Linked DNA regions of Macaca mulatta. The protein of the gene in region 1 interacts with the protein of each later gene in a pairwise test. Links are inferred from orthologs where the notes say so. Each region holds a gene or a part of one and is shown in the gene's direction. Other genes may lie near its edges.

Region 1 (3,803 bases):
TTCCTGCTTTGTTCCTACACCAAATAGTCTTACACATGTGTCTGGGGTATTTGGAATTTCCTGGTTACAATATATATACATATTCAGTTTTAACTGAGGAGTGCTGGATTAGCTTTCAAAGGGGTTATACCAGTTTATACTCCCTATAGAGTTCGTGTTTCCTTTCCACTGTTGCCGAACAATTAGTATCAGTTTCTTGATTTTTTTCAATCTAGAGAAGTATCCATAGTGTTAGTTTTGCTTCTGGTAAAGTTGAGTGTTCCTTGTGTTTGGCCTTTCAGATTTCATTTATTGCCTGTACATATTATTAACCCATTTCTCTATAATGATTTTTTTTTTTTTTTTTTTTTGAGACGGAGTCTGGCTCTGTCGCCCAGGCTGGAGTGCAGTGGCCGGATCTCAGCTCACTGCAGGCTCCGCCTCCCGGGTTTACGCCATTCTCCTGCCTCAGCCTCCCGAGTAGCTGGGACTATAGGCGCCTACCACCTCTCCTGGCTAGTTTTTTGTATTTTTTTTTTTAGTAGAGACAGGGTTTCACCGTGTTAGCCAGGATGGTCTCCATCTCCTGAGCTCGTGATCCGCCCGTCTCGGCCTCCCAAAGTACTGGGATTACAGGCTTGAGCCACCGCGCCTGGCCTCTATAATGATTTTTTAAACATTTTATATTCTCTCGGCTAATCATTGTACATACTGCAGGTATCTTCCAGTCATTGTCCTGTCTAACTTTTCTTTTTGCATAGAAGCTTTTTAATGTAGTCAAGTACAGTACTCTGTCAGCATGGCTTGCTTTTATCTAATAAGATCTTTTCCCTTCTAGGGTTATAAAGATTCTTCATTTTTGCTTTTCAAGCTTGGCTGTTAATGGCTCAAGTCAACCTCTAGCTAGTTATTATTCCAGTATAGGGATAAGTTGTCCCAGCAGTGATTCGAATGAGTACCTTGTGACAAAATGCCACAGAGGAATAAAACTTTTTTGTTGTTGTAGGTCATTCAGTGGTGCACCCACCACAAGGATGACCCTCCTCCTCCTGAAGATGATGAGAACAAAGAAAAGCGAACAGACGATATCCCTGTTTGGGACCAAGAATTCCTGAAAGTTGACCAAGGAACACTTTTTGAACTCATTCTGGTAAGTGTTTAACGTGTAAGATAGCTCTGTTCCAGAGCCTTTAAACACTTCTTATAGATTTAAAATTTGCTAACTTCATTGACACTGAATTTTAATACTCTCTAAATTCAAATGTAATGCCATATTTAAATCCACATATCAGTAACACACTAAATGTAAATGGTCTCAACACAGCTAAAAGGCAGAAATTACCAGATCAGAAAAGCAAGCTTAGCTATGCTGTCTATAAGAAACCCACTTTAGGCTGGACGCGGTGGCTCAAGCCTGTAATCCCAGCACTTTGGGAGGCCGAGACGGGCGGATCACGAGGTCAGGAGATCGAGACCATCGTGGCCTACACGGTGAAACCCCGTCTCTACTAAAAAATACAAAAAACTAGCCGGGCGAGGTGGCGGGCGCCTGTAGTCCCAGCTACTCGGGAGGCTGAGGCAGGAGAATGGCGTAAACCCAGGAGGCGGAGCTTGCAGTGAGCTGAGATCTGGTCACTGTACTCCAACCTGGACGACAGAGCGAGACTCCGTCTCAAAAAAAAAAAAAAAAAAAGAAACCCACTTTAAATATATAGACACAACTAGGTTTAAAGAATGGAAGAAGATACACTACACTAACACGAGTCAAAAGAAAGCTGGAGTAACTATATTAAAATAGGTTTGGAGGGAAAGAATATTACCAGGGTTAAAGAGGATTATTTCATATTGATAAGGGGATCAGTTTTTTAAAAAGACGTAACAGTTATAAATGTTTATCTGCCTAGAAGCAGAACTTCCAAGTGAAACAAAACCCAGTAGAACTCAAAGAAGTCCACAAAGTGACAATCATAGAGATTTCAGCACCTCTCTCAGTTAATATAACTAGACAGAAATCAGGATAACTTGATATAACACTATTGACCAAATTGTCTTAATGGACATTTATAAAACATTTTATATATATATATATATATATATATATATTTTTTTTTTTTTTTTTTTTTTTTTTTTTTTGAGACAGAGTTTCACTCTTGTCACACAGGCTGTGTTGCAGTGGTGTGATTTTGGCTCACTGCAACCTCCACCTCCCGGGTTCAAGCGATTCTCTGCCTTAGCCTTATGAGTAGCTGAGATTACAGGCATGAGCCATCACACCTAGCTAATTTTTTATATTTTTAGTAGAGATGGGGTTTCATCATGCTGGCCAGGCTGGTCTCGAACTCCTAGCCTCAAGTGATCCACCCGCCTCGCCCTCCCAAGTGTCGGGGTTATAGGCGTGAGCCACTGCGCCTGGCTGAGACTTGTTTTATGGCCCAGGACATGGTCTGTCTTGGTAATATACACTTGAAAAGAATATGTATTCTGCTATCATTACATATAATGTTTTAGGCTGGGCACAGTGGCTCACACCTGTAATCCCAGCACTTTAGGAGGCCGAGGCGGGAGGATCACGAGGTCAGGAAATCGAGACCATCTTGGCTAACATGGTGAAATCCCGTCTCTACTAAAAATACAAAAAATTAGCCGGGCGTGGTGGCAGGCGCCTGTAGTCTTAGCTACTTGGAGGCTGTGGAGAATGGCGTGAACCCGGGAGGTGGAGCTTGCAGTGAGCCAAGATCGCTCCACCGCCCTCCAGTGACAGAGCGAGAGACCCGTCTCAAAAATAAATAAATAAATTAGCTGGGTGTGGAGACACGCACCTGTAATCCCACCTACTTGGGAGACTGAGGCAAGAGAATCGGCTGAACCTGGGAGGTGCAGGTTGCAGTAAGCCGAGATCATGCCACTGAATTCCAGCCTGGGTGACAGAGTGAGATGGTGTCTCAAAAAAAGTCTATTGTAAAAGGATTCAAGTCATACAAAGTTTGTCTTCTGACTGCAATGGAATTAGAAATCACAAACAGAAAGATATCTGGAAAAATCTGCAACTACTTTTAAACTAACACATTTGCAGGTAAGCTACGGGTCAAAGAAGAAATAGAAAGTATTTTGAGCTGAATGGAAATAAAACACATGAAAAATCTGTGAGATGCAGCTAAAGAATTACTTAGAAGGAAACTGATGGAATGAAATACCTATATTATTAGAAAGGAAAAAAGTTTCAGATCGGTGATTAAGCTTCCACCTTAAACTAGTAAAGGATGAAATTAAAGTAAACAGAAAAATGAGAATATTAAAGGGCAGAAATCAATGAAATAGAAAACAGGTAAACAATAAAGTCAATGAAACCAAAACCTGTTTTTTAAAAAGAGATCAATAAAGTGTAGTGCTTTAACTGCTTATTTTTGAACTCTTTAAGTGTGGACAAATATTTTTGCCAAGACCTGATGTGGTATTTGTGTGCATGTGTACACACATACACAACAGTAGTGGCTGTTATTTAACATTTGAGCTAGTATAGTTTGGTTAAGGAAGCATAGGGATGCAACATTATAGAGGTGTAACAAAGAAGGTCACATAAAAGTCTTTCACAGAAGAACTTAAGAGTGATTTATTCTCCCTTTAATTTAAAATTAGCATTTTAAGCTTTATTAGATATGGAATGTGAATCATTAACTTTGGATTTAGTTTAAAACATCAAGTATACTTTAAGGAAAACAACTGTCTCTTTACAGGCTGCAAACTACTTAGACATCAAAGGTTTGCTTGATGTTACATGCAAGACTGTTGCCAATATGATCAAGGGGAAGACTCCTGAGGAGATT
Region 2 (4,362 bases), on another chromosome or scaffold:
TTAATACTGTGTACTTACACCAAACCACAGTCTGGATAGTAACAGGAAATTTGCATTTTGTTTATCTCTGGGCAGGATGGAGGGAGGGAGGTGGGGGTGGGGAAGGATTGTGGGTGATTTTTATTTTCTTTGTATTTAGCAATATTTTCTGCTTTATGTGAAGTAGAGACATTTTCTTTGTATTAAAAGAGCAAAATAAATTTGTTTTCTTTAAAAGCAAAACAAGAAAAAGTGGGAAACTCTGCAGGTGACAAGTGGGTCCATGATAGGGAGCCAGCCACGGAGGTGAGATAAGGGGGAGTCCTAGGAAAGTGGCCTGGGGAGTAGGAGAGAGTGAGAACCTCCCCTGGAAACGTTCCCTCTTTCACGTCTTCCTAGCCCCTTGACTTGGGAGTGCTGACCCGATGGTTGTGGCCCCACCCCAAGGGGTGGAAGTGGGGACCAAACGGGACCAATGTCTGCCCATCAGGTCTGCAGGGGAGGGTGGGGAGGCAGGGAGTACTGGGAACCTGGAGACTGGGGATGCTTCCTCACACTCACTAGTACCAGACCCATGGGGGAGGTAAGCCAGGCTGGAGGTCGAGTTAACAGGGTAAAGAGGCCAGGGCCCTAGTTTCGCATCCGCCGATTGGCAGCTCTTCTAACGTGTTCTTTCACAGAAGCCCCTCCTTGGGAAGCCCCGCGCCCCACCCACCCGTAGTCGTCCCTTTTTGGGAGGGGCTGAGGCTTCCAGGCTGGGTCCTGAGAACGTTTGGTGGCCGGAGACTGTGGGGCACTTGGGTACCGACCTAACAACGTCTGCCGCCATTTCCAGGGGCGAGCCACGCACGGTGCCCCTTGAACACTTAACAGTCCCGGGGGCAGCCCCACCTCTGGCTGGGTGGACAGGGACAGCCTGTGGGCGTGGCCCAGAAATGAAAGCCTGCGACTCCTTGCGACCCGCCGGGCACACCCCCTACTCAGCTACGCAGCTCCCGAGCGCTGGAGGGGAGCTTCCCAGGCTCCCACTAGCCCACCCTCAAGCTGGGGTTTCGCACGTGCGATCGGCTGGGGTGGACAGGGGGGTCTCCGCTCAAGGAGGTGTTCAGAACCACCCCTCCTCCCCCACCCTCTCTCCTGCGGGGCCCTACTGCTCCTCGAAAGCGCTGGCAGGGACGAAGAGCCTGCGGGGGCCAAATTCAGTACCGCCCCCCGCCTCCCACGGGAACAGCCCAATAGGCCGCCGCCACCAGCTGGCTGGAGCAGCCGCTGGTGACATCTGCGCCGCGCCCACGCTTCGGAGCCAAGATCCACCTCCGCTCCCGCCCGCACTGGGGAGCCCACCCACACACCCACCCACCAACTGCACTAACCTGGCCGCCTCGGCTGGGCCTGGGTTCCCACGCCCGCCAGGCTCCGCTCTACTCGCGCCGCTTCCGGGTGTGCGCGGAGGCGCTGGGGCGGTGCCCTAGCCCGAGCCTCCTAGTCCGCCCGCGCGTCCTGCTCCGCGGGCTCCCGGTGGCTGCTTCCCGCCCGCTGCCCTCTGCTGCCAGTCCCCTGTCCCGGGCAAAGCCCATCTGGTTCGCTGAGCAGGTAAGACACCAGCGCCCAAGGTTAGACGGCAGGAAGACCGGGACTTTGGGGGTTTGCGATTTTTACGAGGCCGGGGGCTCGTAAGAGCGAGAGCTGCCAGATTTCGGTAGATCAAGGGAGCGCCCCCTGGAGACCAGAATTTTCTGGTGCCCCTGGGGATCCGGCTTCAAGATCGCTGCTGCCAGTGGGCACTCAAAACGGGGTGCCCATGTGTCCCAGGTACAAGCCCAGCCGAGCGTATCTGAAGCCCCAGGAAACACGTGGCACAAATTCCGGGAGAAACTGTTAGCCCGGAAGATATGGGAACATTAACTGGCGAGTAGTGTGAAGCCTTGTGTACGCAAACCTTCAGGAACCTTAAAACAAGATTGGCGGCCCGGCGCAGTGGCTCACGCCTGTAATCCCAGCACTTTGAGAGGCCGAGGCAGGTGGATCACCTGAGATCAGGAGTTCAGGACCAGCCTGGCCAATATGGTGAAACCCCATCTCTACTAAAAATACAAAAATTAGCCGGACGTGGTGGCGCGCGCCTGTAGTCCCAGCTACTCGCGAGGCCGCGGCAGGAGAATCTCTTGAACCCGCGAGGTGGAGGTTGCAGTGAGCCGAGATCTCGCCACTGCACTCCAGCCTGGGCGACACAGCTAGATTCCGTCTCAGAACAAAACAAAACAAAAAGAAAAAACAAACAAGATTGGCAACTTCAAAGAGGACGCACACTTTTCCAATAACCCATCCCCCTCTAAAGGCTGCTCTCCAGGGTGGGTCTGCGGAGTTCCAGCCAAACCCAAAGTGCCCAGCGGGAGCCAGGACTGCTCAGGGGTCGGCACTTGAAACTTGAGCCCCTCAGGCACCAGAACCGTCAGGTCCCAGAGCCCCAAGTTCTTTTTCATCTTGTGGGGCTGTCTTAGGAAGCACCCGGGACATCTCCCCCGCGAGGCGGAGGCGGGGAAGGAGGCGGGGAAAGAGCCTCCCCTCCCGGGGCGGATCCAGCTTTGCCCCGCCCACACCTCGCTTCCTGATTGGCTCATGGTCCCTGACAAGGAAAAGTCTACATTAATGCTCCCGCCTTATTAACCCTGTAGTCACTTTCTACTAACCGGCCGGGTTAAGAAGGGGTTTCTCAGGCCGGGCGCCGTGGCTCATCCCCGTAATCCCATCACTTTGGGAGGCCGAGGCGGGCCGATCGCTCGAGCCCAGGAGTTCGAGGTCAGTCTGGGCAACAAAGCGAGACCTCGTATCTGAAACAAAATTACAAAAATTAGCCAGGCGTGGTGGCGTGCCCCTGTAGTCCCAGCCACTCGGGAGGCTGAGGTGGGAGAATTGCTTGAGCCCGGGATACAGAGGGTGCAGTGAGTTGTGATTGCGCCACCACTGCACTCCAGCCTGGGTAAAGTGGGAGACCCTGTCTCAAAAAAATAAATAAATAAATAAATAAATAAATAAAGGTTGGGGGGTGAGTTCTCAACGTGGAACCTGTGGAGTCACCAGGGACTTGTTGAAATGCAGATTCCTGGGCCTTACCCTTTCCGGAGAGCCTGATTTAGTAGGTGAGGCTGTGAAATCTGCTTTGTGAACAAGTGTTCACAAAGCAGTTATCTGATGCCCCACGCTGTCTGAGAGGCCCTCAAGTTACTCAGGCCACAAGCATTTGTACACCTAAGATGGGTCTTCCGGCAACACTTTGCGCCTTCCTAAGCCCAGAGACGTCCCTTTCTCTCCAGGCCGGAGCTATTGGGAGTGGCGGATCCTCCCACCCCAGCCGGATCCAGGCCATGGCCGAGACTGGAGAGGGACTGCCAGAGGAGGTGTTGGCGCTCATCTTCCGCCACCTGCCCCTGAGAGACCGTGCTGCCGCCGCCAGGGTCTGCAGGGCCTGGGCCGCCGCTGCTACCTGCAGCACTGTGTGGCACGACACAAAAATCAGGTGAGCCTGCTCCTCGACACTCCCCTCCCCATGGCCCACTCACCTTCTCTGTGGAGTCGTGGGCTAGAGATTCAGGTTGACTCCCCCATATTAAAAAATAATTGCTGGCAGGGTGCGGTGGCTTATGCCTGTAATCCCAGCACTTTGGGAGGCCGAGGCGGGTGGATCACCTGAGGTCAGGAGTTTGAGACCACCCTGGCCAACATGCTGAAATCCCCTCTCTACTAAAATACAAAAACTAGCCGGGTGTGGTGGCGGGCGCCTGTAATCCCAGCTACTTCGGAGGCTGAGGCACGAGAATCGCTTGAACCCGGGAGGCGGAGGTTGCAGTGAGCCAAGATCCCGCCACTGCACTCCAGCTTGGCAACAGAGTGAGACTTTATCTCAAAATAATAATAATAGTAATAATAATAATTGCTGACATGTATTGACTACCTAATATATACCAACCATTGTTTTTAAGTGCCTTACATATATTAACTGATTTAATCTTTACGAAAACCTGTGTGGTAAATAGGTATTATCATTACCTCCATTGCCCAGATAGGAAGCTGAGGCAGACAGACTTAATCACTTCCCACAGGTCACTCAGCTAGGGAATGGCAGGGGCAGAATTCGAACCACGCCAAGACTTCTTAGAGACAGCTGAGAAAGCCCAGTTCCTAAAATATCATTGGCTCTCCATGTCCAGGTTTCATCCTGTGGCAGACGCCACTGAAATCTTCTAAAAGGATAGGATGAGAGTTCCCTCCTTTGGGGCAACAGTCGCGGTCTGGACAGAGACGTGGGGAGGGAGGCAGGAAATGGGATGGCAGCTGGAATCCCAGCTAAGGGGTGGATAGAGGGTTCTTCCCTGGTCGCGGGGA

Evidence for each region. The genes of interacting proteins can lie anywhere in the genome.
Region 2: the proteins of SKP1 (region 1) and FBXL8 interact in binary tests that used the Homo sapiens proteins (3 or more experiments, as listed by UniProt). The link is inferred for Macaca mulatta from reciprocal best matches to the Homo sapiens genes SKP1 and FBXL8.

Annotation. Positions count from the first base shown.
Region 1 is NC_133411.1:143,061,842-143,065,644, reverse strand, and holds part of SKP1 (S-phase kinase-associated protein 1), read left to right. Parts: intron 1-985; coding exon 986-1,129; intron 1,130-3,713; coding exon 3,714-3,803. UniProt on the Homo sapiens protein: Essential component of the SCF (SKP1-CUL1-F-box protein) ubiquitin ligase complex, which mediates the ubiquitination of proteins involved in cell cycle progression, signal transduction and transcription.
Region 2 is NC_133425.1:62,701,619-62,705,980, forward strand, and holds the start of FBXL8 (F-box/LRR-repeat protein 8), read left to right. Parts: upstream 1-1,458; 5' UTR 1,459-1,572; intron 1,573-3,293; 5' UTR 3,294-3,344; coding exon 3,345-3,496; intron 3,497-4,026; exon of another isoform or gene 4,027-4,304; coding exon of another isoform or gene 4,305-4,362. UniProt on the Homo sapiens protein: Substrate-recognition component of the SCF (SKP1-CUL1-F-box protein)-type E3 ubiquitin ligase complex.